Linked DNA regions of Mus musculus: regions 1, 2, 4, 5, 6 and 7 are each reported to be linked to region 3. The links are microRNA targets in miRTarBase. Many come from high-throughput screens and were not tested one by one. Region 3 holds a microRNA gene; each other region holds the end of a gene's coding sequence.

Region 1 (4,068 bases), not on the chromosome of region 3:
ATCTACACACACTTCATCCCAAAGGCCACAGAATGCTGCAGTTTCAGGCAGGAAAGGATGTGCACCTCACAATGAAATATCCAAGAGCTCCAGACCTATTTGGTTGCTCGCTAGACTATGAGCTTCCCCAAAGCTTGCCTTTTGTTTTGGCTCACATCATTCCCCAGCTATTTGCTGGTAGTCACTGAGATAGCCTCATTCTCTTCTGTAAAACATTTTCAAATGTCCTGAGATAGAATAGGGTCTAGTGGGGTGTGCCTATAAACACAGCACTAGAAGGCTGTGGCAGGACTCCTAAGTTCAAAGCCAGCTTGGACATCATGAGGCCCTGTCTCAGAATAACAAAGCCCCGATGGAGTAAGAGGCAGAACAGCAACACACAAACTTGAGAGTCTTGAACAAGTGCAGTGCTGCTGCGTGGGCAGGCTCCCGTCCTTCCGTGAGGATTCACAGCACCCAGGCCAGAGCTCCCCTCCTAAGGGGAGGGGTACTGGAGGGTGAGGGCTCAGCATGTGGTCTTGTGTTCATTCTCACCCACAGAGCAGAGAGGAACCTTGGGAGTCATCTTTGCCAGCATCATCTTCCTTTCTGCGCTGTTGTTGTTTCTGGGACTTCACAGACAGCAAGGTGAGTTTGTAGATCAACCTACTCTCAGGTATCTGCCCACCCAAACCAGGGATGAAGTCCAGTGTGCTGAGTTCCAGATGTTTCTACCATACCCCCAACATCTGCTTTTGGAATTATCCCTATTGAAAACAATCTTGTTCCGTTTTTCTCTCAGCTTCTTCATCAAGGTCCACCAGGCCTATGAGGCATTCTGGGTAGCCGCCTGCCTGCCTCCGAATACAAAGTAAAGTACTCCACATCCTGGCTACTTAAAGGACCCCGTGTGAGGTGTGGGGCTGAGCTGGGCCTGAAGGTGCCAGCACATTGGGAGTGCAGTACTGGCCCTGGACTGTACAAGTCTCTGCTTTCTGTGCTATTGAGAAGAGAGCCCTGGGCTGATGAAAAGGGACAGGACAAGAGGATGGCAGAATTATCAAAGTGGAAGCTAACACCATCTATGTGAGGTATTAAGAAATCGGGGGTGGGGGCTGGTGAGATGGCTCAGTGGGTAAGAGCACCCGACTGCTCTTCCGAAGATCTGGAGTTCAAATCCCAGCAACCACATGGTGGCTCACAACCATCTGTAACGAGATCTGACTCCCTCTTCTGGAGTGTCTGAAGACAGCTACAGTGTACTTACATATAATAAATAAATAAATCTAATAAAAAAGAAAAAAAAAGAAATCGGGGGTGGGGGGACACACAGGGGAGGGTTACCTAAAAAGGGCTTTCCTTCTCAAAGGAGAAAGGGAAGGAGGAATGGGGGTGGGTCTTCATGCAGAGGTACTAGAAGGAGAGAGGGAACTGATATTGGAATGTAAAATGAGTAAATGAAAAAAAAGTCAGATGTAAAAAAATTCTCTTAGAAAAAGGATCAAAGTGAGGGAAGCGGGAGAGGCTGTGACCACTCATGAATGCCAACACTGTCAAAATAAAAACATGCTGTGACTACAGCGCACTTTCTTCTCTCTCTCCCTGTTGGTTCCAAAACATTCCTAGCTGCTCCAACTCCCAACTCGTTGTTTCAAGGTACGAAGCAGAGGCCCTGGGCTACATCTGCACCGTTACATCATCAGATATTAGGGTTCTGACCCTTCAGACAGCTGCCAGGAGTTTTGGGAGAGTTATACAACACTCCCTCAGCTGCACGAGAGCTTCCTTGTGCTCACTGCTATGAAATACCTTATGGATACAGTGCATCCGAGCCTATAAAGACCATGAATTATGATGTCTGTTATCAAAAGTAAAGTGGGGGGCTAGAGAGATAGCAACCCGTGGATAGGAGCGCTGGTAGATTTTCTACACAACCTGGATTTGGTTCCCAGAACCACATGGTAGCTCACAACCATCTGTAACTAATTCCAGGAGTCTAACGCCCTCTTCTGTCTTCCTAAAGCACCAGACATGCATGTAGTACTCACACATACATGCTAGAAAAACAGGTATATGCATAAAATAAAAACAAATGCATCTTTAAAAATATCTGTGCATGAGTGTGCCTGTGTGTATGTGTACCACACGCACCCAGATGCCTGCAGAGGTCAGACGGGGCCCTGGATCCCCTGGAACTGTAGCTACCTACAGGTGTTAGTGGCCATGTGGGTGCTGCAAACGAGACCTAGGTCCTCTGAGAGTTCTCTTTAGTAGATCTATTTATCTTACCATTTTATGTGTGTTGAGTGTTTTGTGTGCAAGTGTGTATGTACACCACCTGTGTGCCTGGTACCAGGAGAGAGTGTCAGATCCCCGGGGACACACAGAGGGCTGGGGTCGGGGTGGGAGGTTGTGATCCTCCATATAGCTGCTATAAATTGGACCCAGGTCCTCTGCAGAAGTAACAAGTGCTCTTCACTGCTGAACCAACTCTCCAGCCCTAAATTAAGATTTTAAAAATTAAGTTGTGAATGATGGTGCATGCTTTAATCCCAGCACTCAGGCAGCAGAGGCAGGGGGATCTCTCTGAGTTTGATGACAGCCTGGTCTACAGAGTACATTCCAAGGCAGCCAGGGCAACAAAGAGAAACCTTGTCTCGTGGGTGGGGGGAAGGTTTTCTGGGTTTAGAAGCTAGTTTTTGCAGACATTAGGAACAGACCAATGTCTTAAAAGGAGGTGGGGGAAGGGCTGCAGAGATGGCCCCGTGGCTGGGGCACTGGTTGCTCTGGGGAGGATCTGGATGCCAGGCACACACATGTTGTAAATACATACATGCAAACACTCACACGCATACAATAAACAGAACTAGATCTTGAAGTGAACTTGCTATTTCAGAAGAATTAGTATGGAGAATCTACTTACAAGGCAAGCACAATGGGGCACACTGGAAACCCTGTCTTGAAAAACTAAAGAAAATAGAAATGAAGCTGAAGAGGGGAACAAATCATGCATGAGGACCAAGGAGGTACGGGCTGGAAGCCTCCCCCAAGAGGTGACAAGCAGGTGGAGAGGCCTGGGAGGGGCTGAGAAAGCCTGCAGCTGTCTGCTAGCATTTGGTGCCCACTCAGCTTCCTGTCAGCACTTCCTCTCACCAGCACCTGCAAGCCTGGCTGTTTCAGGTATGAAGGCTAAGACACAGACCACTTCCGCTGCCAACACAGAGACTTTAATCTCCAGGAAGAACAAAGAATACACACATCAGCCCTTCTGGCCTAGAGCCAACATAGGACACCACCTTCCTCTCCCCCTCCCCAGCACAGCCCAAACAACAATCAAGTCAATGTTGTGGTAGGAATTTGTATTTTTCGCCTTTGTTGAGAATACATGAGATTGGTAAATATGTCACATGCCTTTGGTGGAAGTACAACTCTTACTACTATACATAAACTGTGAGACTGGGTTAGGAAAGAGACAGAGGTAATGACAGACACGATGGAAGCCCCACATCATCCCATGGCAAACAAAGAGGAGATGTGGGAAGCTTGGCTTCAACTGACTGCAAAGTCCCAGGGTTAGCTGCATATTTGCTCATGCACATGGGTGGTGGGAGGGAGAGAAGACTGCAGAGACACAGAAGGGGGTTCAGGGTGAGGTGAGATAGAAAGTAGAAGGACTAACACCCCCAGAAGAACGAATGCCAACTACACCTAAGCCTTAGATGGACAGAAACCCAGGAAATAATTCCCGTGCTGGGGCTGGGTGGGCCAACAGGGAACATACGCTCCAGGCTTGGGACACACCAAGGACAGTGTTGCTTCTTCTCCAGAGATGGCTCCCTGCACTAGGCAAAGGGAAGCCCAGAGCAGAGTGGAGACCTTCGGGGGACATTGGGAGGCTACACTGACTGCTTTCTTCCAGCTCTTCAGCCCTGCCCTGAGGCAGCACGAAGGGAAGGTGGAAAATGGGCCAAGGGAAAGGAAGGATCGATGGCTCTGCAGAACGAAAGGCTGCTGCGTGGGAAGTGGACCCCCGGCCTAGCACGGCCCTGCCTCCTCCAGTTTGTGGACCAGAGCACAGAAGGAATAGAG
Region 2 (4,068 bases), not on the chromosome of region 3:
TCTAGGTAGACGAGTCATTTATTGAAAGAGAGCTGCTGGATGGGTGATATGACTCAGTGGGTGAGAGCCCTTGCTGCCAGACCTGATGCCCTGAGCCCATGCCTTGGAACCCACATGGTAGAAGGAGAGATCCGGCTCCCCAGAGTCGTCCTCTGACTTTCATGTGCATACATACACACATAGACAAAATTAATAAGGAAAAGGAGTGAGCTGTGAGGCCTTCATCTGACAGGCGGAGCTCTGAGATAGAGCAGGACTGAACTGGTTGTCTCCTGGTCTGAAGCTGCAGTCCCTACTCATGGGGCTCAGAGGAACACAGCCCAAACCTGGAACTTCCTGCGTAAGTCCTTTCCATTGCTCTCCCTACCCTGCTCCTTCTCTTCTTCACAGTAGCATTCTTGTCCCTTAGGTTGGCTGTTGTCCAGTGTGTTGCTATTGTCTGGAACTCCTACCTATCCTGGAAGGCACATCAGTTCTAAGCGTGCCTTGTTCCATGGTTTGCACCTTGTACTGATGCACCGTGACCCTGGAATGCTTGGACAGCTTCTTCAAACTAACCACATCAGGACTGGAGCGGTGACTCAGCTGTTAGAAGCACGGATTATCTGCTCTACAGAGGACCTAAATTTGGTTCCAAGCACCCACATCGGGTGGCTCACAACTCCCTATGTCTCAAGCTCCAGGAGATCTGATGTTCTCTTCTGGCCTCTGAAGCACCTGCACAAACATGTATATACCCACGAATAGACACGCATTTGTAATTAAGCACACAATGAAATCTTTAAAAGGAAGGAGTGTGTCAGCTTCCATGCTATGGGGTTGCTGATCAGAATAGGGTGACCACTCTGAAGTGGCACATTTCACTTTAACCACTAAGACATTTATAATATTGCTGTCACTCTGGCCCTTAGCTGATGGGGACACACTATAAGAATTGTGTCCTGGGGGCTGGAGAGATGGCTCAGCCTGTAAGAGCACTGACTGCTCTTCAGAAGCTCCTGAGTTCAAATCCCAGCAACCACATGGTGGCTCACAACCATCTGTAAAGAGATCTGACGCCCTCTTCTGGAGTGTCTGAAGACAGCTACAGTGTACTCATATTTAATTAATTAATTAATAATTAATTAATTAATATAGAATTGTGTCCTGGAAGCCAGGCATGGTGGTACATGCCTTCAATCCCAGCACTTGGGAGGCAGAGGCAGGCAGATTTCTGAGTTCAAGGTCAGCCTAGTCTACAGAGTGAGTTCCAGGACAGCCAGGGCTATACAGAGAAACCCTGTGTCAGGAAAAAAAACAAAAAAACAAAACCAAAAAAAAAAAAATGAAAGTCTGTGTCAGTCTCAACCTAGTGACAATCCTGCCTCAGCTTCTCAGCTTCTCAAATGCTGGATTAGAGAATTGTGTCTTGGGCTACAGATATCGCTCAGTGATTAAGAGCACTGACTGCTCTTCCAGAGGTCCTGAGTTCAAGTCCCAGCAATCACATGGTGGCTCACAACCATCTGTAATGGGGTCTGATGCCCTCTTCTGGTGTGTCTGAAGACAGCTACAGTGTACTCATATACATTAAATAAATAAATCTTTTTTTAAAATCAAACAAGAATTGTGTCTTTAGCAGTTTTGTCACTGTGCACACATAAGGAGTATACTTATGCAGATGGTAACAATCAGTTGCTCAACATGGCCTCTTCGTGCACAAGCATGTGGTGTATTTTTCTGCTGCCAGTCTGACATGGTATACTGTTTTACAGAGAGCTTTTTCATATGTAGAACACTGTCATTAAGATGTATACGCTGTACATAATTGCACAAGATATACTTCCATATTACTGCCAGCTTGGTCTGTTTCCACCAGCATTATTGCAGATTCATGAATAATGCACCAAACTGAGACATAAGAACTAATGCTGCTATGTGGTAGGGATATTTCAGCTCCGCTATGATTATCTGAAGCCACCATTGTGTGTTGCCATCACTGACTAAAAGGTTGCTATGCAGCATGACTGTCTACATTCCCACCACATAGTATATTCCTCACAGATATTTGTAGAATAATATGACCTTGCCAACTTTACACCTATGTCCCAATAGCTAGCACACGTCCCCACTCTGTATAGATACAACTTCCTGTCTAGAGTTGAGACTTGAACTCAGCATTGTGGATGCTAGTCACGTGCTCTAACAACTAAGCAACATCCCTAGACTAGAGTGGCTATCACGCTTAACTTTTCTAGGTCCTAGTGCCTTTCGAGACCCTGTCAGGGACTTTATAGGCACAGAAATAGATACATTATTATCTGGGATCTGCAGTGGCTATGAATAAGACCCTTCAGAAGAGCACAGACCTGTCTGTAACTGGAAAGAAGCAGAGGCTGTTCATTTACAAAGACAGACGCCAATGGTTTCAGAAGTGAGGGACCTGACTACACAAGCTGGTGGCAGAGGAGGAACTTGGGCCAAAGTTTTCTCACTTCTACCTAGTGATTTCTTCGTTTTCGTGTGTGTGTTTGTGTGTGTGTGTGTGTGTGTGTGTGTGTGTGTGTGTGTGTGTGTGTGTGTTCAAAACTGGGTTTCTTTGTGTAGTCTTGGAACCAGCTCAGTAGACCAGTCTGGCCTCAAACTCAGAGATCTGCCTGCCTCTGTCTCCTGGGTGCTATGATTAAAGGAGTGCACCAGCACCACCCCAGCTCCTGACCTAGAAGGTAAAAAGGTATAATAGTACTGTTTCTGTGTTTCCTAGGAAAAAGCTGACTTTGCCAAACTCAGGAGGTACGTTAAGTTCTGAAAGCCAAACACCCTTTTATGCCATTCTGACACCTGTAGATTTTAGTTTGTACTGCTGTACAATGGTCAGTAGAATGGGTCAGACCCACTGTATTGGAGAGCCTTTGGGTGGGACTGTGTTGTCTGAGCCCCTGCCAGCAGAGCATTTCTGATCTCAATTTGAGGACCCAGTAGCCGGCCTAGGGACCGTGTCTAAGCAGCCCAGGCTTCTCCCCAGAACTTCTGTCCAGATTGTGGCTGTGAAGAAGTTCGGAACCACGGACAGCTCCACAGTCCTCCCTCTCTACTTGAGAAGAGAAACAACCCCTGACTATTCCTGCTCTGGAGACATTGGTGGTTCTGTGTCGGGGAAGGACTCTGCATCCGGAAGATCTATCTTTATGGCTCTGCCAGCTTCTCCCTCTACAGCCAGGGTGCTTCCAAAGATAGCTCCAGGGACACAAAGTCAGGATACGCACCCCTCTGGGGGCTCGAAGCTGCTGGACTCAAAGCTGCCGGTGTCATTGTTTCTACAATCAGTTCATGTTCTTCGCTGACGTCAGTCGGAGCTGTCCTGGTGCTATATAAGGCTGGCGGCGGTCCCGGGACAGACCCCGTGCTCCCCAAGGCGTCTTCAGCCCGTCCCCGGGGACAGAGTGGAGCTCCATCTTGCACTGGGCAGACACTCCGATAACCTGTGAGTGGCTTGAAGCAACGATCCAGACTCCCTTACCACCAAGACTCTGCACTCAGCCCACCCACTGTGACCTGCCGGGAGGGAAGGAGGGAGAGAGGGGTGGAACTGGACTGGCACAGCGCCTAGGGCTGGTGGGCAGGATGTGGACACCAGGCAACAGCTGGAGGGTCTCGGCAGGGGCACTGGGCGTGCGCGCCAAGGGGCTCGTGTTACCTGCGGCTGCTCCAAGTGCACCTCACCCTATGCTGCCCCTGTGTGTCCAGGGCAGGCGGCACCATGATACAGAGGGGACGCGCTACGCTCCTGGTGGCGTTGCTGCTCTTGGCACAGCTTCGCCCGGAGAGCAGCCAGTGGAGCCCAGCGGCTGCGGCGGCAACTGGGGTCCAGGATCCGAATCTGCGATGGAGCCCTGGAGTGCGGAATCAGGGCGGCGGCGTCCGCGCGCTCCTCTTGCTGTTAGCGGAGCGCTTCCCGCGCCGCGCAGGATCTGAGCCTGCGGGCGAGCGGCAGCGACGGGACGACCCTCCACTGTCCATCGACCTCACCTTCCACCTGCTGCGGACCCTGCTGGAGCTAGCTCGGACACAGAGCCAGCGCGAGCGCGC
Region 3 (4,068 bases):
AGAGTCTTAGAGATTCTGTATGACTGGGCCAGGGAGAGGTCACACTCACCATGTGACGCCCCTTGCCAGAGTCAGGGTGATCAGGAGTGCAAATTCATGTTAACTGCGTGATGAGGTAGAGATCAGCCTGTCATTCATGTGATGGCCCCTGTGTATGTGCATGTGTGTTTGTGTGTGCGTACATGTACATGTGTGTATATGAATATACATATACATACACGCACACATAGATACGCACGCACACACACACACAGGGATGGCACTCATCAATCCATTTGAATGATAAGTGACTTAGAGTGAAAATGCTTACTAGAGTTAAGAGTATCAGGAGTTCAAATTCATACTTATCCTCATGAGAATTTAGAGATCAGCCTGTGATTTATGTGATTCCTCCATGTATGTGCATGTGTGTATAGTTGTGTGTGCATGTTCATGTCTATATTTGAATATACATAACATACACACACACGTATAAACGCAAGCACACATACACAGATACAGGAATGGCATTCGCCAATCCCTTTGAATGATAAGTCATGTAGAGTTTTAGAGATTATGCAATAGGGGACATTGAATGGTCTCACCCACCAGGTGTAAAAGATTGACAAAGTCAGGAGGATAAAGATTTCAAATTCATGCTTAATTCAGTTAGAGATCATCCTGGTATTCATGTGATGCCACCCATGTATGTGCATGTGTGTTTACTTGTATGTGCATGTGCATGTGTTGACATGAATATACATAACATAAACACATGTGTATATGCAAGCACACACACACACACACAGAGAAAAAATTGCATTCATTTATATGTTTGAAAGATATGTGACTTAGAGCTTTAGCAATTATGTAGTACTTGGCCAATGAAACTTCTTACTTACCAGTAAAATGTTTTTCATATTCAGATGGATCAGGAGTTCAAATTCATGAGTAACTTCAAAATGGTGTACAGATCAGCCTGGCTTCATGGGATCCTCCCCAATGTATGTGCATGTGTGTATAGTTTTGTGTGCATGTGCATGTGTGTATATGAATAGACATATACATCCACACAAACATATACAAGCAAGCACAGATACACACACAGGAATGGCACTCATCGATCCATTTGAATGATAGGTGACTTAGAGTTTTAGAGACTGCAGTAGTGGGACAGTGAATGGTCTCAGTCACCAGCTGTAAATGATTGACAAAGTCTGGAGAATCAGGATTTCAAATTCATGATTAACTTCAGTTAGAGATTATCCTGGTATTCCTGTGATGCCACCCATGTATGTGCATGTGTGTTTACATGTGTGTGCGTGTACATCTGTGTAAATGAATATATATATATATATATATATATACATATATATATATATATATATATATATATATATATATATATAACATAAACATACATGTATATGGACACACGTATGCACACATACACACAAGGAATGGAATTCATTGATATGTTTGAATGATATGTGATTTTGAGCTTTAAAGGTTATGTAGTACTGGTCAAATGAAAGTTTTTCTCACTATGTAAAAGCTTGCCATATTCAGAGGGGTCAGGAATTCATATTCATAAATAAATTCAAAAGAGAGTAGAGATCAGCCTGATTTTATGGGGTTCCCCACAATATATTTGCATGTGTGTATAGTTTTGTGTGCATGTGCATGTGTGTATATGAATATACATATACATCCACACAAACATATACAAGCATGCACAGATATACACACACACAGAAATGGCACCCATAGATCATTTTGAGTGACATGTGACATGTGACATGTGAGTTTTAGAGAGTATGCCGTGCTGGGCCAATGAATGCTCTCACTCACAAGGTAAAGACCCTTGCCAGATTCAGGATGATCAAGAGTGTAAATTCATGTTGGTTGCATGATGAGTTGGAGATCAGCCTGGCATTCATGTGATGGCTCCTGTGTATGTGCATGTGTGTTTGTGTGTGCGTACATGTACATGTGTGTATATGAATATGCATATACATGAGAGCATACATAGACACACGTGCATGTGCGCTTGCATGCGCGTGCGTGCACACACACACACACACACACAGAGGATATGTGATTTACAGTCTTATAGATTATGTAGTAGTGGGTAATGAATGGTCGCACTCATCATGTGTAAACAATTTGCAGATTCAAGAAGATCAGGAGTTCAAATTCATGCTTAACTTCAGCTGGACATCATCCTGGTATTCATGTGATGCCACCCGTGTATGTGCATGTGTGTTTACAGGTGTGTGCATGTGAATGTATATATATGAGTATACATGTACAGACACATGCAGCACACACACACACACGAATGCCACTCATTGATCCATTTGAATGATATGTCACTTAGCATATTAGAGATTATGCAGTACTTGGCCAGTGAGTGCTCTCATTCTCTAGGTGAAAATCCTTGCTAGAGTTAAGAGTATCCCGAGTTCAAATTCATACTTATCCTCATGAGAGATCAGCCTGTGATTCCTCCATGCATGTGCATGTGTGTATAGTTGTGTGTGCATGTTTATGTGTGTATTTGAATATACATAACATACACACACACGTATAAACACAAGCACACACACACAGACACAAGAATGACACTCATCAATCCATTTGAATGATAACTGACTTAAGAGTTTTAGAGATTATGCAATAGGGGACAGTGAATGGTTTCACTCACCAGGTGTAAATGATTGACAGAGTCAGGTTAATCAGGATTTCAAATTCATGCTTAACTTCAGTTATAGATCATTCATGTGATGCCACCCATTTATGTCGATGTGTGTTTTCGTGTGTGTGCATGTGGATGTATGTATATGATTTTGCATATACAGACACATGCACACACATGCGGCACACACACACACACACAAATGACACTCATCGATCCATTTGAATGATATGTCACTTAGAGTTTTAGAGATTATGCAGTTCTGGGACAGTGCGTGATCTCACTCTCCAGGTCAAAATGTATGCTGGAATCAGGAGTTTTAGGAGTTCAAATTCATGCTTAACTTCATGATGATTTTAAGATCAGCCTGTGATTCATGTGATTCTCAGCCATGTATGTCCATGTGTGTATATTTGTGTGTGCATGTGCTTGTGTGTATGTGAATATATATATCATACGCACGCACACACACACACAAATGCAAGCACATACACTCTCACACACAGAGGAATTGAATTCATCCATTAATTTGAATGCTATGTGACTTATTCTTTTAGAGATTATGCAGTAGTGGGACAGTGAACGGTCTCACTCGCCATGTGCAAACATATTACAGATTGAGCAGGGTCGGGAGTTCAAATTCATGCTTAACTTCAGCTGGACATCATCCTGGTATTCATGTGATGCCACCCGTGTATGTGCATGTGTGTTTACGTCCCTGTGTATGCACATGTGTGTATATAAATATACATACCATAAACATACATGTAAATGCAAGCACACAAACATGGAATGGCATTCATTGATACATTTGAATGATGTGTGACATAGAGCTTTAAAGATTATGTAGTATTGGGCTAATGAAACTTTTTACTCACAATGTGAAAAAGCTTCCCATATTCAGAAGGATTAGGAGTTCAAATTTATGAATAACTTCAAAATGGCTTAGAGATCAGCCTGGCTTTATGGGTTCCTTCCCAGTGTATGTTCATGTTGCATAGTTTTGTGTGCTAATGTATGTGTGCATATGAATATACATATAAATACACACAAACACATACACACAGGCACACACACACACACACACACACACACACACACATACACACACACACACACACACACACACACATACCCCGAATGGCACTCATTGATACTTTTAAATGACATGTGACTTAAAGTTTTAGAGATTATGCAGGGCTGGATCAGTGGGTGCTCTCACTCACAAGGTGAAAATGCTTGCCAGAGTCAGGAGGATCAGGAGTGGAAATTCATTCTCAAATTCATGAGTCCAGGATCAGCTTCGGATTCTAGTGATGCCCCCAGTGTATGTGCCTGTGTGTATATGTATGTGTGCATGTGCATGTGTGTATATGAATATACATATACAT
Region 4 (4,068 bases), not on the chromosome of region 3:
TCCCGAGTTCAAGGAGTTCATCAAGGCCTCCAGGGAGCACCTGAAACGGAGCCTGGCCCTGGCCGCAGCCGCCGAGCACAAGTTGGAACAGATGTACGGATCTAACGTCTTCCCAGAGGGACGTACCAGCGACCCAGACAATGACATGGAAATGATTATCAATATGCTGTACAACTCCAGGTCCAAGTTGTCAGATTATTTCAATATTAAGCGTGTACCATCAGAGCTGAGAGAAAAGGCTTCCGTCGTGAATGCTGAGTTGAGAAAAATATTATGTGTGGATCAGGTAGAAATGCAAAGCCTCATTAAGAAGCTGTTAAGCAATAATATGAAAATCCTAAATATTCTTAATGTCCCATGACCAAACTCATGTAAGCAAAGGACTTGTTCACAGGAAAATAAGCATAGTGATTTTTAAAGTTGCCTAAAATATTTTCTACAATATTTTCCATGTGCTAACATCCTTGTATGTCATATCATAAAATATTTTCATATGCACTAAAATCCTAAAAATTTTAAAATAAAAATTTGCTTTGTGAGTCTGTAGTTTTTTTTCTTCTCACTAATCTAAGCTGTGAAGAGCTGGCCTTACAGTGTTTTGGATTTGCTTCTACTTAGTTCACAGGCTGCTTGGGCTGGGTCAGGGTTAAAAGAACTGCTTACAGTTTTGAACCCACTTTCAGAGCATCTGCGTTTTCTGTATGAATGGTACACTTGAGGCTGATGTCGGAACTCTCCCATGTGGGTGCATGTTGCTTCTTTGGAAAGTGGGTGATGTACTGGGGTCATTATGGGGGACTGGATCTGTGATGAAGGCCATCCTCACAATTTCCTCCCTGGCCTTGCATACAAACACATTAAAGATTTACAATCTTTTGATAGCAAGTATGACTGATACCGGTTAAGTTAGACATTCAATATAATAACGAAAGTGCAGTTTTGTTTCATGACTTGGCCAGTATTATATTCAAGTTCATTTACTTAGCACTCAGGCTCTCACTAGCACTCAAGCTAGTCATTTACAGATCAATAAAGATTTATTGACCCTCTGCTAGAACAAAATGCTAGGCTTTGGGGATAGAGTGAAGAGCTATGTCCCTCTCTCTTTGAGAGTATAACAGGGAAGCTAGACTTTGAACAAAGATTTCCATATTTTAAATTTTCAGTTGGGACGAGCTATTATGAGAAGTAGCTGTCTAACTTCATCTAGAATATCAAGAGAAGTAGCCTTAGGCGAGTGGCATTTGAGGGGAGGTCTGAGAGACGAGATATGCTTGGGGGAAGAGAATACTGCAGGCACAGGAAGAACGTGTGTAAGTGTTGAGCTGAGGCCAAGGGTAGAAGGTTCAAGAAGTGCCAGAGAGAATATTCCAAGACAGAGCAGGCACAGAAGGCCAGAGAGAAGCTGGCAGGCTTTGTGCTGTGCATTAACCATTTCACCTTTATCTTGTGCTCGGCTTTGTATCAGACACCAACCAGTGTGTTTAAATGTAACACTCTGGCTACAGTTTTAGGGGCAGACTGAGGTGGACAGGAGCTGTGCTGGAGCCAGATCTGCCTTGGATTACATGGGAGGAAGTGACAAAAGCCAGAACAAACAGAACCAGTGACTGGGGGAGTAACGGTGACCAGACTGTGGTATAAAGTGATACAGAGGTTTGCTTTCACAAAACCACTGTACACCGTGCTTTTTTTAAAAAAATAACTTACTATGAAAAACTTCAAGCATTGCAAAAGTGAGCCGTAACATGGTAACAGTACAGAGTCATTACCCAGTGTGAACAGTCGTGTTCTAATGGGCAGTAGTCTCTGTCTGTCTAGCCCTATGCTACCCCACTTCCTGTATGCTCAACTGGATCCTCAAGACCATTTCATCTCTAGCTGCACCACGTGAGGCTCTCTCAGCTTTTGAAGAACATTTGCAAATGTTTCATAACAATACCATCACGTGCAGTTAATGGTATCTAGTCAATGTTTATAAAGTGATTAGACAATGGGAAATTTGGAGTTTCTTTGTATGAATCAAGATCAAATAAAGTTCACGCATTGCTACTGCCTGACTGGACTCAGAGTTCTCTTTTAATCGAAAGATCCTTTCCACTCTCCCCTCCCCCTCCACTTGAAACTTCTTTATTGGAAAAATGGACATCAGCGCTATCCTTTCCCACAGCATGGATCTGGTGTTGCACGTAGGTTGTTGCTAGTCTGTTTTCCTGTCCTCTGTATTTTCTTAATTCACTTTTGTTTATTTATTGTGTGTGTGTGTGTGTGTGTGTGTGTGTGTGTGTGTGTGTGTGAGACCAGTGGACAGAAGAGGGTGTCGGATCCCCTGGAGATGGAGGAATCCACAGTCCTGAACCACCTGCTGTGGATGCTGGGAAGGAATCAAATTGCCTCCTCTGGAAGAATAGCAAGTATTTCTCATTACCTGCTGAGCCACTGGTCCAGCCTACTCTGTATTTTTTTGTAATCCAGTGAATTAGTCTAGAAGCATTTTATCAGTGTGAAGCTTATGTTTTTGCTTTCTTCTCTCTCCTGTTTCTTTCCTCCTTCCCTTTTTCTATGGTGTGTGTGTGTGTGTGTACATGTGTGTGCATGCATGTGGAAACCAGAAGTTGACATCAGGTATTTTTCTCAGTCATTTCCCTAGACATTTTTCCTTTGTAAAAGATTTTCTTTTACGTGTGAGCGTTCACACAAATGCATGTACATGCACCACATGCATGCTAACACTGGCAGAGACGGAAGAGGATATCAGATGCCTCAGAAGTGGAGTTCCAGGTGCTTATGAAGACAAGTGTGGATCCCGGGGTCCACACCCAGGTCCCATGCAGGAGCAGCAAAGTTAAGATGCTCTTAACTCAGAACCGCCCTTCTCCAAGTCCTCCAGACACTTTGTGAGGCAAGGTCTCTCCCTGAACCTGGCTGACTGGTTTGCTAACTTGCCTGGCCTTTGAGCCCCAAGGATCTTGTCCCCACCTCCACAGCTCTGGGTCATAGGTACACCTCCTGCACCTGTTTTGTTTTTGTTTTTACATGAATTGCTGGGAGCCAAGGTCAGACCTGTGTGCCCTGTGTGGCGGGCAATTTGTCCACTGATTCATCTTGCAATGTTTTCTCCTTTCTTGGCAAGACAGTGCTTCCTTACTTCATTTGGCTGAGCATTTATTTTTCAGACTTTGATGGCCATTACTTAGATAGTTGCTAAGTAAATTAATCTGGTAATATCAAGTGTTGATATTATGATTTTTAAAATTGAAACAACTCTACAAAGAGAAATATCTAATCTATCATGGGATTCTTCAATAGTCCATATATCAAATGCTTAGATACTTTTCTTTAAAAACAAAATCAAAGATGAGGGACTGGAGAGATGACTCAGAGGTTAAGAACGCTGACAGTTCTTCCAGAGATCCTGAGTTCAATTCCCAGAAAGCACATGGTGACTCATAACTATGAGGTCTGGCACCCTCTCTGACCTGCATGCATACATGCAGGCAGATCACTGTATATACATGGAATAATTTTTAAAAAAATTAAAGATGACTTCAGAGACTATTATTATGCTGTTGTTTTGAGATAGAATATCCAGGGCTGTATTCCAAATGGCTACATGATATAGCAAAAGATGACCTTGAACTTAGGATCCTCCTGCCACCAATTCGTGTGTGTGTGTGTGTGTGTGTGTGTGTGTGTGTGTGTGTGAGGGGGGGGGGGTATAGGCAGCTGCCCTTCCCCGGTTTCTTCATCCTCTGCAACTTGCTTTAGAGTGCTACATTTGTTACAGTTGATGAGCATATACTGACAATTGGTATCAGCCTCATTCTCTTTGATGTAACATATTCTTGCTGTTGGGGCAGGTGGGAGGAAACACTGTCATATACTTCACAGGACAGAGGGCACCAACCAGCATGTCCCGCTCTTTCAGTCTCCTCGTGTATTTATACACAATGCTCCGGAGTCTTAGTTGTGTTTATGAGTTTGTGATTTGCGGCCTGGGAAGATGGCTCAGCAAGTAAAAACATTTGCTATTCAGGCATGAAGACCAGAATCAGATCTCCAGCATCT
Region 5 (4,068 bases), not on the chromosome of region 3:
CTCCCACTCCCAGCCCTCTTCACCCCTGCCTCCCCAAACACAAATAAGTGCTTAATAAGTGCTTGATGAGTATAATTAGCTTACTATGTAACTTTTGAGAAGGACAACCCCTTTTCTCTCCTTTGGGTGAGTATAATGACTTTCTGAGCCCCTGGAAGACTAGGGCTGTGCCTCTTTTGTGACCTGGCACATACAACTGCTTTAATATGCAATGAAGAAACAAACTCACTCTATTCATATCAGAGCTGAAGGTGGGACCTTCTCAGAGGCCCAGGAAGGAAGGTCCGGCAGTGTGTGTGCCACTGTGTGTGGAACTCTGGGGCTGCAGGAGAATGGGGTGGAGGTGGGAGGGGCCGCGGACACAGGGAGGGGGGCATTTATCCTGGAAAGTGGCCTGGGAGGCGTCTTGGGTTTGTTATAGTCAACCCTGCCCTGGGTGGTAAATCCCAGGGGAAATGCTCTTGATTGGCACCAGGTTGTGTTCTCCTCAGCCTTTCAGTGTTCCCGCCGAGGAGGGGAGCTGGACATTTCCCTGCGACCTGATGGGCGCGTTGACATAAAGGGCGGAGCTGTTATTGTCTTGGAGGGCACGCTGACCGCCTAGAGATGCTCCTGCTGGGCTTGGGGCCACTGTTCCACAAGTGTCTTCTCTAGAGCCCAGAACCCGACCCAACCCAACTCAACAGCAGATGCACAGAGCTTGGTTCAGTCGTCGTGTGAACCCAAAAGGGAAGACACCTGATGGAGGTGCGGTAGTGTCTCCAGAATCCTTTCCCGATGGTGGGCTCTGAACTCTGCCTGTGTGTGCATCTTCAGTCCCCACAGCAGATAGGGATGCTGCCCCTTCTTTTGATCATGACTGCCAATCAAAGTGAGAGGTGCACTGATAAGGAGCCAGAGAATGCCATTTCAATTGAGGTATGGGTACCTTAGGGCATTTCACAGCCCTTTAGAAGAATAAATAGGTGTGTAGAATGTTGTGTTGCCAAAAAACATTTTCTCTCCGCCCCCTAAGGTTCCAAAGACCAACCAAGGCACACCACCACCAAAGCTCCCCTAGGGCACCAATGAGTTATCAGACTTCTTTACAGAGCAGAGGTGAAGGTTTCCTTACAGCGGTGTGGGTTCCATCCCCTAAAATGTGGCACCAGAAGGGCTTTTACATAGCATCAATGGTGACCTTCCTATAGTGGCACAGATGGAGCCCAGCTCCCCTAATCTCTGCTGGCCTGTGTCCTCCAGCCTCTTTGAGGCCATGTGCAATTAGGGCAATGTTGCATACATAGGAGGTAGTGAGTGGCTGGGTTCTCAGAGGAGGCCCCGTGATCTCCCCATCCCTCTATGAGGAGATGTAAACAGTCGCCAGACCCAGCTGGCATGATCTTTGGCAAGTGCGCACAGCTGAACTCCTGAAGATGGAAGTTGCTTGGCTCAGGGTATGGTCCTGAGCAACATGCAAAAGTCCATCTCCTGATGTAATAATACTAGGAAAGATGAGGGGGCTGGTGAGATGGCTCAGTGGGTAAGAGCACCCGACTGCTCTTCCGAAGGTCCGAAGTTCAAATCCCAGCAACCACATGGTGGCTCACAACCATCTGTAACATGATCTGACTCCCTCTTCTGGAGTGTCTGAAGACAGCTACAGTGTACTTACATATAATAAATAAATAAATCTTTAAAAAAAAAAATACTAGGAAAGATGAGTAGACTGAAAACTGTTGGAGGCTGTGCTGCAGGGCTGGGGTACGTAGGACCGTATGGGCTGTGAGGTCAGCAAAATGAAACAGTTCATGCTGGGGGACAACGTAGAGTAATTTCAATGAGCTAAAAAAAAAAGAGTTGGGGGCTTGCTGAGTGGCTGAAACGCTTGCTGCCAAGGCTGACACCCTGAGTTCGAATCCTGGGACCCATATGGTAGAAGCAGAGATCCAACTCCTACATGCTGTCCTCTGACCTACGTACACATAGGTGCTATAGCATGCACACATCCACACCTATACATGCATACCCCAAACAAATAAATGTAATAAAAATAATTTTCTTTTTTTTTTCACTTTATATGTTGGATGTCATCTGTTGTAATTATTAAAAAACAATCTACTCTGTCTCCGGCTACTCTCCAGCCACGGTGGTCTCCCCTCCCCCATGGCTATCCCCAACTTCCCCGAGGCTCGCTCGGCTCGCTTGCTGCTGAACTGCTCAAATTCCCAATCATCTGTCCCTTGTGGCTAGTCTCTAACCCCCCCCCCCCCAGCCACGAATAAAGAAAACTCTTTATTCGTGCTTGTAATTGATCAGTCAGATTTATAACAGTAAATTCTCAACCCCCAAAATGCCCACTCAAAGAACTCAAAACGCGAGTTATTGATACAAGCTGCCCACCTTGATTGGACCAATTGCCTTATCTTACTCTACGGCTCTTCTGTGCTATCCATAGCTACCTGTGGCCATTTCAAGCCACGTGGATCTAGCTCATCTACCTCTCCTATAGGTTCCATCTTGTCTCCTTGTCTCTGTCTGTCTCTCTGTTTCTCTGCAAAACTCTCAGCCCACCTTCTTTTTCCACTGTCCAATCACAGAATCTAGCCTTATATTTTACTTGCCCTCATCTGCGTATAGACAACAATCTACACTAAAACTTAGGAGAATCTCAGAAAATGAACAGAAGAAAGGATGCCTTTGTGTGGGCTGGGGGTGGTCCAGCAAGTAAAGCCCTTGCCGCTTTGGATACCTGTAATCCACACAATGACAAGTGGCTGGAGTCCCCACATTCATTTGTCAAGATGAAAGAATCCACCTCTCACTGACCCCTATCCTTCCGTCCCCATTCACCACCCCTCCCCACCTACCTCGAAACTCCCAGGCCAACTAGTTTGGCATAGAAGGTACAGTGGCAAACACCTAGAGAGGCTCAGCCTCAAACAAGGTGGTAAGTGAGACCGAGGACTGTGGAAACTCACTGCCATTCTGTCAGGCACAGGGGTGCACACCCCTAATCCCAGCACTAGTCGGGCAGAGGCGGGAGGATCAGAATTTTAAGGCCTGTTGCAGCTATGCAGCCAGTGAATTTGAAGTCAGCACGAGCTTCCGGAGACCCAGTTTCAAATGCCAAAAACTACACCAAACCGGTTAGAATCTATAGAAAGGACTCGGGAATCCCAGAAATCGTAAGTCATCCCTAGCACAAGAGAAAGGGGAGGGGGCTCCTGGAGAGCGATCCCTCCATCAGCATCAGCACCATGTGGGAACTTGCTAGAAAAGCAAAATCACTGTTCCAGATCACCTGTGTCTGGAGCGCTGCGGTCTGGGGCTGATACTTTGACTTTTAACAAGATCTCTAGGTGAGGGGTTAGTTTGAGACCCACCTTGCCCTGGGCCTTCCAGATGTATCAGCCATTTACACGGCTCCCAGGACAGTCACCTCTGATGACATCTAAGCTCAGAAGATCCCTGACTGCACCATATACCTGCTGCTTAAAAGCATACTTCCTAGGAGTTGGTTTACTGTCAGCTTCCAGCGGGGCCTGGCTTGGAGACATTAGCTGTGCTCAGGTGGGAGCTGTTGGGTAAAGTGTTAGCAACAAATAGATAGTTAAGCAGCCATGACTTATTCATGATGAGTTCATTATACCTGGCCGTGCACCTCCGCTAGCTAAATGGAGCTTTAAAGGAGTTACTTTATTAATTGTCATGGTGCTAACTGCAGACACAGAAGGATCGCTAATTAAACATGCAAACCGTATGCAGCACGTTTTGGGTTGCTGAGGCCACGGAAAACCTATCTTTTTTTTTTTTTTTTTAAAGGGGGAACCAAAACAAACTTTATTTTATGCAATATTAAGGAGTTCCCTTGGCAATGCTAATTAATCACAGTGATGCCCTCCAGCAGGAATAGACTCCATACACCAATATATGTACAGTGGTCTGGCTAGGCTCTGTTAAGAGGGAACATGTTTGGTCTTGCACTACAATTTGTTTATGTTTTCTTCTGTTGTGATTGACCTCCCTGGCTTCCAATTTTGGGCTAGGTATACATTTGGTGTTGGTGGGATGGCTCAGTGGAGTGGT
Region 6 (4,068 bases), not on the chromosome of region 3:
ACCTGATGTGTCATTGAGGACTCTGAGGGAGGTGACATGGAAACTGCCCAGGAAAAGGAGGGTAAGAGAGCGTAAGATTACAAGGAGAGGGAAGGAGCTGAAGCTAAGTTCACTCTGGTCGAGGAGTCTTGTCTAGAGGCATATGGGATGTGGCCTGAGGGAGGGACGAGTCAGAAGGTTCCCTTGTCAAGTAGGAGAGCATTTGCCCCAGAGCGCAGCAGAGACAGGAGCAGGGACAGTCATCACTGGCCGCTTGCTGCTGGTGTCATTCCCTACAGCAAGACTGGCGTCAGTTGTTCCTCACGGGGGTGAGGTTAGAGCACAGTTTTCCTGGATGGTTTAAATCCTTAAAGTATGTAGATTTGTGGCTCAAAGGAAGGCCTAAGAAATCCCAATGGTATAATAGAGGCCACAGGTTAGGTAGGACTTTAAGACAGAGTCAAGGCAGAGGAAGGTAGCGTGTGTGAGTTGTGGTTCCAGGAAGAGAAACCACAGATGAGTAGAGGTATGACAGTTGGAAAGTCCAGGGAGGGGAGTGGACAGGGCAGCTGGGATCTGCGCCAGGACCCGCTCCTCACTGACTGTCTGTCTCCTTCTGTAGCCTCAGTGCAGAAGAACTGGAGGCTTTCCAGAAGGAACGAGCTGTGTTTTTGGCTGCTCAGAAAGAGGCAGATTTGGCAGCCCAGGCAGAAGCTGCCAAGAAGTGACCCCAACTTTCTACACTCTGAGAATTTGAAGTGAGAGGCTGAGAAAGGGGGCCACAGAGGAAGCTGAGCCAAAGGACTTCATGGCAACCCGATTTCTAGTTTCCTGACATGTTTCTGTACATTTGCTGTGCCAGGGGATCAAGCCTGAATAAATATCCTTTGTCATCAACTCTCAGCTTCTCTCCTGAGACCCCAGAGATGGGGACCAATACTGACAGTTCCCAGCCTTCACAGGTGTGAGCTGCCCTACAGGTGAACGCAGCCTCAACCAAGCAAATTATCATGCCCAGTGCCTTGGTCAGCCTTGTATTATATCAAAATAACCAAAGCTTGGTGCTTTATAAAGAAAAGGTATTGATTTGGCTTCTGATTCATGGTGCTGGAGTATGGCAAGGCTCACTTGCTGTATGACAGCATGGTACAGTGGAAACAGTCACATACATAGGGCCATCTGTGTGAGGTAGCCTCACCTGGACCAGTCCCCGCCTTAAGGCCAACATTAGTGAAGGTTGGACTCCCAGACCCCTCCGCCAGACCACACTTTGATTTATTCATTTTATATGTGACTGTTTTGCCTGCATATATGTGAGTGCACTGTGTGCATGCTTGGTGTCTGTCAGAAGAGGGTATTGGATCCCCTGGAGCTGGATTTATGGGTAGTTGTGAACCAGTATGTGGATCCTGGAGTTGAACCTGGGTTCTCTGTAAGAGCAACAAACAAGTGCTCTTACCTCCTGAGCCATCTCTCTACTCTATCCCCCTTTTTTGAGATAGGATCTCTGGATATCCTTGAACTCACGGAGATCCACCTGCCTCTGCCTTCCACATTGCTGGGACTAAAGCTTGCACCACCATACAGGGCATAGCCCCCACTTCTTAAGGATTCCACCACCTTCCACACTGGGAAGCAAGCCTTCAGCCCATGAGCCTCCGGGGCACGTGTCGTAACATTCAGGCTCTGAGTAGGTACAAGTGGAGTAGAGCCCAGGGAGAAATCCTATGTTCAGGGTTGAAGATGTTGTTTCCTGATGGAGCTGCTCCTTACACAAAGCCTCAACTTCTATTCCCAACACTTCAGAGCACATAAGCCTGTGCTCTTCCCTCGGGGATGAGAGAAGGCACAGTCGATGGGGTCCACAGACACTAAGGCTTGGCTGTGTTGCTTGTCTTTTCTTAGTATAACTGTTGGGGAGTTTGTATCTGAGAAGCAGGAGCCTGACAGAGAATTCAGACCACAGATAGGGTTATCCTTTATCCAGGGGCAGCTTCAGGCCTCCCTGCTGAGTTGACATGATTGTTTCTGAGGCAGAATCTCATTATTTAGCCTTGGCTGGCCTGAAACTGGCTGGCTAGGCTACAGCCTGACCTCTCAGTGCTCCAGTTAAAGGTGTGCATTACCCCACCCGGCTCCTTACTAAGTTTGGTTATTTGCTTTTTTAAAACTTGCCATTTGGGGCTGGAGAGATGGCTCAGAGGTTAAGAGCACTAGCTGCTCTTCCAGAGGTCCTGTGTTCAGTTCCCAGCAACCACATGGTAGCTCATCACCATATATAGTGAGATCTGGTGCCCTCCTCTGGCTTGCAGGTATACATGCAGGCAAAACACTACGTAGTAAATCTATAAAACAAAACTTGCTGGTTTTTTTGTTTTTGTTTTGTTTTGTTTTGTTTTAATGCTGTTGGAGATGAAACCCAGGGCCTCATTCAGCCAGAGCCAGGACTGTGTCCCTCTCAGCTCTGCCTCTGCCAAGCTTGTGAATCTACCCTGGGTCAGGGAGAACAGCCGAATCACAGCCCAGACCTACATAAGTGAAATTCCAGTAGACACCTGCCTGAGAAGTCCTTGTGGACCCTTGACCTGCCTGAGAAGTCCTTGGGGACCCTTGGTCTGCCTGAGAAGTCCTTGGGGACCCTTGGTCTGCCTGAGAAGTCCTTGGGGACCCTTGGTCTGCCTGAAAAGTCCTTGGGGGCCCTTGACCTGCCTGAGAAGTCCTTGGGGGCCCTTGACCTCCTGTTTTCCCATTCTACAAAACATCAAGTGTTCTCTCAGAAGAGAGGCAGAATTGACAGGAAAGATGAAGTCTGTGTTTGCCGTGTGTTGCATGCTGGGCATTATTTTTTGCTTGTTAACATTCTGAACAATTTAGTCAAATTTTCACATAGTATTAATAGTTCAACATTGTTTACTAATACAATTAAAACTTTTATTACGTGTATAATCTATTATATATAGGTATATGTCTTTACACACTATTACCTCTTACTGTTGAGACTATAATATAATTACATTATTTCTCCCTCCCAACCCTTTCCTATTCCCCTCTCTGCTCTCTTACATTCATGGCCTCTTTTTTCATCAGTTACCTTTTGCATATAGGTATATACATATATATTTCTTTTTTTTTTTTTTAAATATTTATTTATTTATTATATGTAAGTACACTGCAGCTGTCTTCAGACACACCAGTCAGATCTCCTTAAGGATGGTTGTGAGCCACCATGTGGTTGCTGGGACTTGAACTCAGGACCTTCAGAAGAGCAGTCGGGTGCTCTTACCCGCTGAGCCATCTCACCAGCCCTACATATATATTTCTAACGTCCTGCTCAGCCTGTGTGATGTTACTTGTATGTAGGTTTTCAGAGCTGGCCATTTGGAACTGGCTAACCAGCTGGCATGCTCGTCCCGAGGGAAGACTGAGCATTCCTTAGCTGCCTTTGCTTGTGTGTCAGGCCGGGGCCTCCCGGCGTCCCTCACCCCCCTTGGCATGTCCGCTGTGCTGTCGCTGTTTGGCTCATATTTAGATAGTCATGTTGGGGAGGCTTTCGAGTATAGCTTCTGCAACTACTGGAAGACACAGTCTTACGGTAAACCTCCTCGTTCGTCCTCTGGCTCTTACAACATTCTCACCCCTCTTCTGAAATGTCCCCTGAGCCTTAGCTGGAGAATGTTTCGTAGATGCGCCCATTGGTGCTGGCCTCCACAACTCTATTTTGATTGGTTGCGATTTTCTGTCCTGGTTTCTGTCTTACAAAGAGAAGTTTCCTCGCTAAGGGGTAAGGAGTACTCTATCTGTGGGCGTAAGAACAAACGTCTCCCTTTGGTTAGGGATTACGCTGGTTTAGTAAAGTAGTGGCTGTAGACTCTACTCGAGACCCATGGGTTCACTAGCTCCGAGTAGTTGGCTAAGTTACCCATTCCAGGCGTTGTCTCCCTCGTGTTGAGTGGGGCTTAAGTCCAATTAGAATCCTTGGTTACCAACGAGGAAGAGGCGCCACTACTGCAGCCTTAGCTCCGCCTTGCTGTTTGTTGAGGTTGTTCATGGTGTTGTATCTGGGGAGAACCATTGGTTGCCACTCTCCCT
Region 7 (4,068 bases), not on the chromosome of region 3:
ATTATTATTATTATTATTATTATTATTATTATTATTAATTTGCTTTTTGTTTGTTTTATTGTTGTTACCATTGTCGTCACTGTTGTTTAAGATAAAATATTTAAGCTGTTCTGGAATTCCCTATATAGACCAGGCTAGCCTTGAACTCAAAGAGCTCCTACTGCCTCTGCCTCTTGGCTGGGACTAAAGGTATATGCCACCACACATGGCTTATTTTACCTTGAGACATGATCTCATTATGAAGCCATGGGAAGTCTGGAATTTGCTATGTATTTCAGGCTGCCCTCGAACTCACAAAGATCTGCCTGCCTACCTCTAAATCTGTGTGCTGGATTAAAGATATGCACCACCACAAAAGGCCCTTTGTGATTTATTTTATGTGTACAGGTGTTTTGCCTACCTGTGTGTCTTGGTACCATGTGTATCCTTGGTATCAGTTGGATCCCCTGATACTAGAGATACAGATGGTTGTGAGCCATTACATGGATCCTGAGAATCAAACCCAGGTCCTCTTCAATAAAAGAGCAGTCCAGTGCTCTTAACCACTGAGCCATTTCTTCAGCACACACACCCACCCCCAACTTGGTTTACTCTTAAAGTCATTTGTTGCTGAGTATATCACTCCATGGTAGATCATTTACCTAGACTATGTGAAGCTCAAATTCAATCCCCAGTAGCATTTAAAAATATATATGTATATATAAATAACATATATATATTATATACATAGGGAGAGAGACAGAGAGAGAGACAGAGAGAATATATGTATTGCCAGGCATGGTGATGCATACCTTTAGTAATTACAGCACTCAGAAGACAGAAGCAAGAGGATCTCTTTGAATTCTAGCCTGCCAGAGCTACTCAGAGACTGTGTGTGTGTTTCTGTGTATGTGTGCACTAAAATTATATTAAAAACTTAATTTATTTAATGATCCTGGGAATCTAACCCAGAACTTTGTCTTTGTTATTCAAATATTCAATCACTGAACTATATCACCAGCTAAAATAACTTTTTTGTTTGTTTGTTTTGGTTTTTGGTGGTTTTTTTTTTTTTTTTTTTTTTTTGGTTTTTTTTCGAGACAGGGTTTCTCTGTATAGCCCTGGCTGTCCTGAAACTTACTTTGTAGACCAGGCCGGCCTTGAACTCAGAAATCTGCCTGCCTCTGCCTCCCGAGTGCTGGGATTAAAGGCGTGCGCCACCATACCCAGCTTAATATAACTTTTAAAAAATCATTTATTGTAGCCAGAGAGATGATTCAGTGGTTAAAAGCACTTGCTGTTCTTCTAGAAGACAGAGGTTTTGTTTCTAGCAGCCACATGTCAACTAACAACCATCTCTAACTCCATCTAGTTCCAAGGAATCTCTTGGCCTCTTCTGGCTTCCTTGAGCACTGCATACACATGGAACACTCACTTATATGCAGGGAAAACAAAACACTTTTACACAAGAATAAAATCTTTACAAAATATTTTTAAAAGATCATTCACCATAAATCCTGCCCAGGCCAGTGGCGGGGGTGGGGGGTGGGTTGTCAATGGATGAGAGCACTTGTGCAAACCTGATAGCCTGAGTGTGATCCCTGGAGCCCACATGAAGGTAGGAGAGACTCTGCTCTACTAGTAAGGTTTCTTCTGACCTCTTCCAGCAAAATAACAATAATAATAATAATAATAGTTATTATTATTATTATACATTTTAACATGATAATAAAAAATAAGCTAACCTCATTTCTTGTTCTTTTATTTTTTTCCCTCATATATGTGCAAGTGCATGCCTGTTCAAACCTGTGCATGTGCATGCAGAGGCCAGAGGCTAATGTTGGTGTCTTCACTCATCTTCTCCCCCTTATACATTAAGGCAAGGTGTCTCAACTGTACTTAGAGCTTTGCCCATATGGTTAGTTTAGCTAGCCAGCTTGCTACTAGGATTTCCTAGAGGACAGAAACACACACACTACTGATCTATATAGGTTATAGAGATGGGAAATTTTCATGTTTGTGTAGCAAGCCCTCTAACTACTGAGTTGTCTCCCAAGGTCCTGAATCCTAGTCTTTATTTAAAAAAAAAAATACAAAAACAACAACTCTGACTTTATTTTTTCTTTAGGCTTCCATGCTGGTTAGATTTAACTGTCAACTTGACAGAATCTAGAGTCCCCTGTGAGATGAACCTCTCGGGGGATGACTATGGGGATCATCTTGATTGTACTGATTGATATAGAAATACCCAACTTAATTATGCCTTGATTTCCCTACCATGAGGGGCTGTACCTGTAGCTGTGAGCTAAAACTAAGTGCTTTCTCCCTTACATTACTTTTTTAAATTAGATATTTGCTTTATTTACATTTCAAATGTTATTCCCTTTCCTAGTTTCCTCTCCAAAAATCCCCTATCCCCTTCCCGCCTACCCCTGCTCCCCAACCCACCCACTCCTGCTTCCTGGTCTTGGCATTCCCCTATACCGGGGCATAGAACCTTCACATGACCAAGGGCCTCTCCTCCCATTGATGACCCACTAGGCCATCCTCTGCTACATATGCAGCTGGAGCCATGAGTCCCACCACGTGTTTTCTTTGAGTGGTGGTTTAGTCCCAGGGCTAAGTTACTTTTTTTAAAAAAAAACTGTATTTTATGTGTATGAGTATCTTGCCTGCACTTATGTATTGCACCATATGTGAGCAGCGTCTATGGGAGCCTAAAGAGGCACTGGATCCCCTGAAGCTGGAGTTGGAGACCGTTACAAGCTGTGAAGAGCACTAGGAATTAAACCCCAGTCCTTTTCTCGAGTAGCCAGTGCTCTTCACCCCTGAGCCATCTCTGTCCCTCCACTTCAGGTCCTTTATCATAGCAATAAGAGAAGAGAAGAAAAGAAGCTTCATACAGTCCCCACAGAACAAGCCAAGCATTTTAGACTTTGTGCCCCCACAGAATCACTCGCTTGGAACAGCTTAGAAACATAACTGATGCGTCCATATTAGCCAGCAAGGGCTCCTTTTATTCATTCAGGGGTGGGTTTTTGAAATGCAGTGCAACTTTATAAGATTATAAGTCAAGAGTGCCAGTAAAGCAAGCCAGCTAGGTGCAGAGTAACGCAAGAAGCTTGCTGGAACCTTCTAGTCCAACGGGCGCCCTTGACACCAGCGCTAAAGCTGCTGTGCAAAAGGTGTCAAACAGATCTCAAAATGAGACAGAGGTGCCTACTCCATCCAAAGCTCAAATCTGTCCATCTGTGCTTGTCATATACAACAATGTGCAAAACAAAACCCTTGAAAATATGTTCACACGGGATCACAGAGCAGGCTCTGCTGGCTGTGGCTACGGGCCTGAGAAGCATCATAGCTGTGCATGAAAAGTCAGGCAGCCTCCATCTTTCCAAATGCCAGCTGCATTGCCATCTGACTCTGGTCTGTCTACTACCTCTGAGCCCTGCCAGCCAGGCCTTCACACAGGGGTCTCCTCTGCCACCTTTTTTAAGAGTCCAGTAGCCAGCAAGGAGTGATGTGGATCCTCGGAGCCATCTGCTTCCCGAATCTTCAGGCGGACTTTCTGATTTGTCTTCCTCCATTCCGAGTACAGCTGGCAATGGTATCGGAAAGAGACCTGCGGGGGCAGTCCTGCAGTGGGTGGGGAGGTAGAGACAGGCCTCCACCCTGGGGAGGAAAGGGAGCCCTGGCATTTGTCATGGGCCAAACCTAGAAGCAGTGCCACCTCTGGGCATTTCCTGAATACTATGCATACACTCACCCATTCGGTCCTCTGAGGATACTCTGATACGCTCCGAGTCCTGTAAACATGAGGGATCTACCACCTTGATCCCAGGAGGGAGCATGACTCTAACAGTTGATGAGAATGGAGCCTTAACAGTCTCTTGGGATTATTTAACCCCAACCAATCACAAAATTGCCCAACCTGGAAGCAACCAAGGTGTCTCTTCTTAGGTAAGAGGATAAAAATGATGGTGCATTTACTGGACTGGGAAGATGGCTCAATGGGTAAGAGAACTTGCTTGAGGGCATAAGTTCAAATCCCCAGCATCCATGTAAAAAGCTGAGCAAGACCCTGTACCA

The links. The annotated mature microRNA mmu-miR-466g reads AUACAGACACAUGCACACACA and lies in region 3 at 2,835-2,855, shown strand. An mRNA with a match to its seed (bases 2 to 7 or 8) in the 3' UTR can be bound and repressed. Matches are read on the target gene's strand: a 7mer-m8 pairs with bases 2 to 8, a 7mer-A1 pairs with bases 2 to 7 and ends in A, and an 8mer does both.
Region 1: miRTarBase lists Tapbpl as a target of mmu-miR-466g. Seed matches in the 3' UTR shown: 7mer-A1 at 1,187-1,193.
Region 2: miRTarBase lists Mpv17 as a target of mmu-miR-466g. Seed matches in the 3' UTR shown: 7mer-A1 at 1,040-1,046 and 7mer-A1 at 1,505-1,511.
Region 4: miRTarBase lists Spesp1 as a target of mmu-miR-466g. Seed matches in the 3' UTR shown: 7mer-m8 at 540-546.
Region 5: miRTarBase lists Pbld1 as a target of mmu-miR-466g. Seed matches in the 3' UTR shown: 7mer-A1 at 1,595-1,601.
Region 6: the mRNA of Mrpl11 is a reported target of mmu-miR-466g. Seed matches in the 3' UTR shown: 7mer-A1 at 1,409-1,415.
Region 7: the mRNA of Marchf2 is a reported target of mmu-miR-466g. The part of its 3' UTR that is shown has no 7-base or 8-base seed match.

The regions. Positions count from the first base shown.
Region 1 is chr6:125,221,423-125,225,490 of GRCm38, reverse strand. It overlaps Tapbpl (TAP binding protein-like), which reads left to right. Exons shown (of 7, transcript NM_145391.2): 6 at 541-627; 7 at 782-1,286. The coding sequence ends at 825. Vamp1 (vesicle-associated membrane protein 1) reads right to left here. Exons shown (of 5, transcript NM_009496.3): 5 at 3,185-4,068. Among named protein-coding and RNA genes, the nearest start is that of E130112N10Rik, 7.8 kb to the left of the region's middle.
Region 2 is chr5:31,138,192-31,142,259 of GRCm38, reverse strand. It overlaps Mpv17 (MpV17 mitochondrial inner membrane protein), which reads left to right. Exons shown (of 8, transcript NM_008622.6): 8 at 410-1,597. The coding sequence ends at 479. Ucn (urocortin) reads left to right here and starts at 3,365. Exons shown (of 2, transcript NM_021290.2): 1 at 3,365-3,463; 2 at 3,727-4,068. The coding sequence starts at 3,740.
Region 3 is chr2:10,511,808-10,515,875 of GRCm38, forward strand. It overlaps Mir466g (microRNA 466g), which reads left to right and starts at 2,788; the gene lies at 2,788-2,867. The region is part of intron 10 of Sfmbt2 (Scm-like with four mbt domains 2); the gene reads left to right. Mir466d (microRNA 466d) reads left to right here and starts at 160; the gene lies at 160-255. It overlaps Mir669m-1 (microRNA 669m-1), which reads left to right and starts at 983; the gene lies at 983-1,080. It also overlaps Mir669m-2, Mir466n, Mir669o, Mir466h and Mir297a-3.
Region 4 is chr9:62,268,718-62,272,785 of GRCm38, reverse strand. Spesp1 (sperm equatorial segment protein 1) reads left to right here. Exons shown (of 2, transcript NM_025721.2): 2 at 1-2,057. The coding sequence ends at 361. Among named protein-coding and RNA genes, the nearest start is that of Spesp1, 11 kb to the left of the region's middle.
Region 5 is chr10:63,075,858-63,079,925 of GRCm38, forward strand. It overlaps Pbld1 (phenazine biosynthesis-like protein domain containing 1), which reads left to right. Exons shown (of 9, transcript NM_026701.3): 9 at 492-2,103. The coding sequence ends at 604. Among named protein-coding and RNA genes, the nearest start is that of Pbld1, 16 kb to the left of the region's middle.
Region 6 is chr19:4,964,073-4,968,140 of GRCm38, forward strand. It overlaps Mrpl11 (mitochondrial ribosomal protein L11), which reads left to right. Exons shown (of 5, transcript NM_025553.4): 5 at 602-2,923. The coding sequence ends at 707. Among named protein-coding and RNA genes, the nearest start is that of Mrpl11, 3.8 kb to the left of the region's middle.
Region 7 is chr17:33,688,553-33,692,620 of GRCm38, forward strand. Marchf2 (membrane associated ring-CH-type finger 2) reads right to left here. Exons shown (of 5, transcript NM_001252480.1): 5 at 2,953-3,601. The coding sequence ends at 3,443. Among named protein-coding and RNA genes, the nearest start is that of Hnrnpm, 5.1 kb to the left of the region's middle.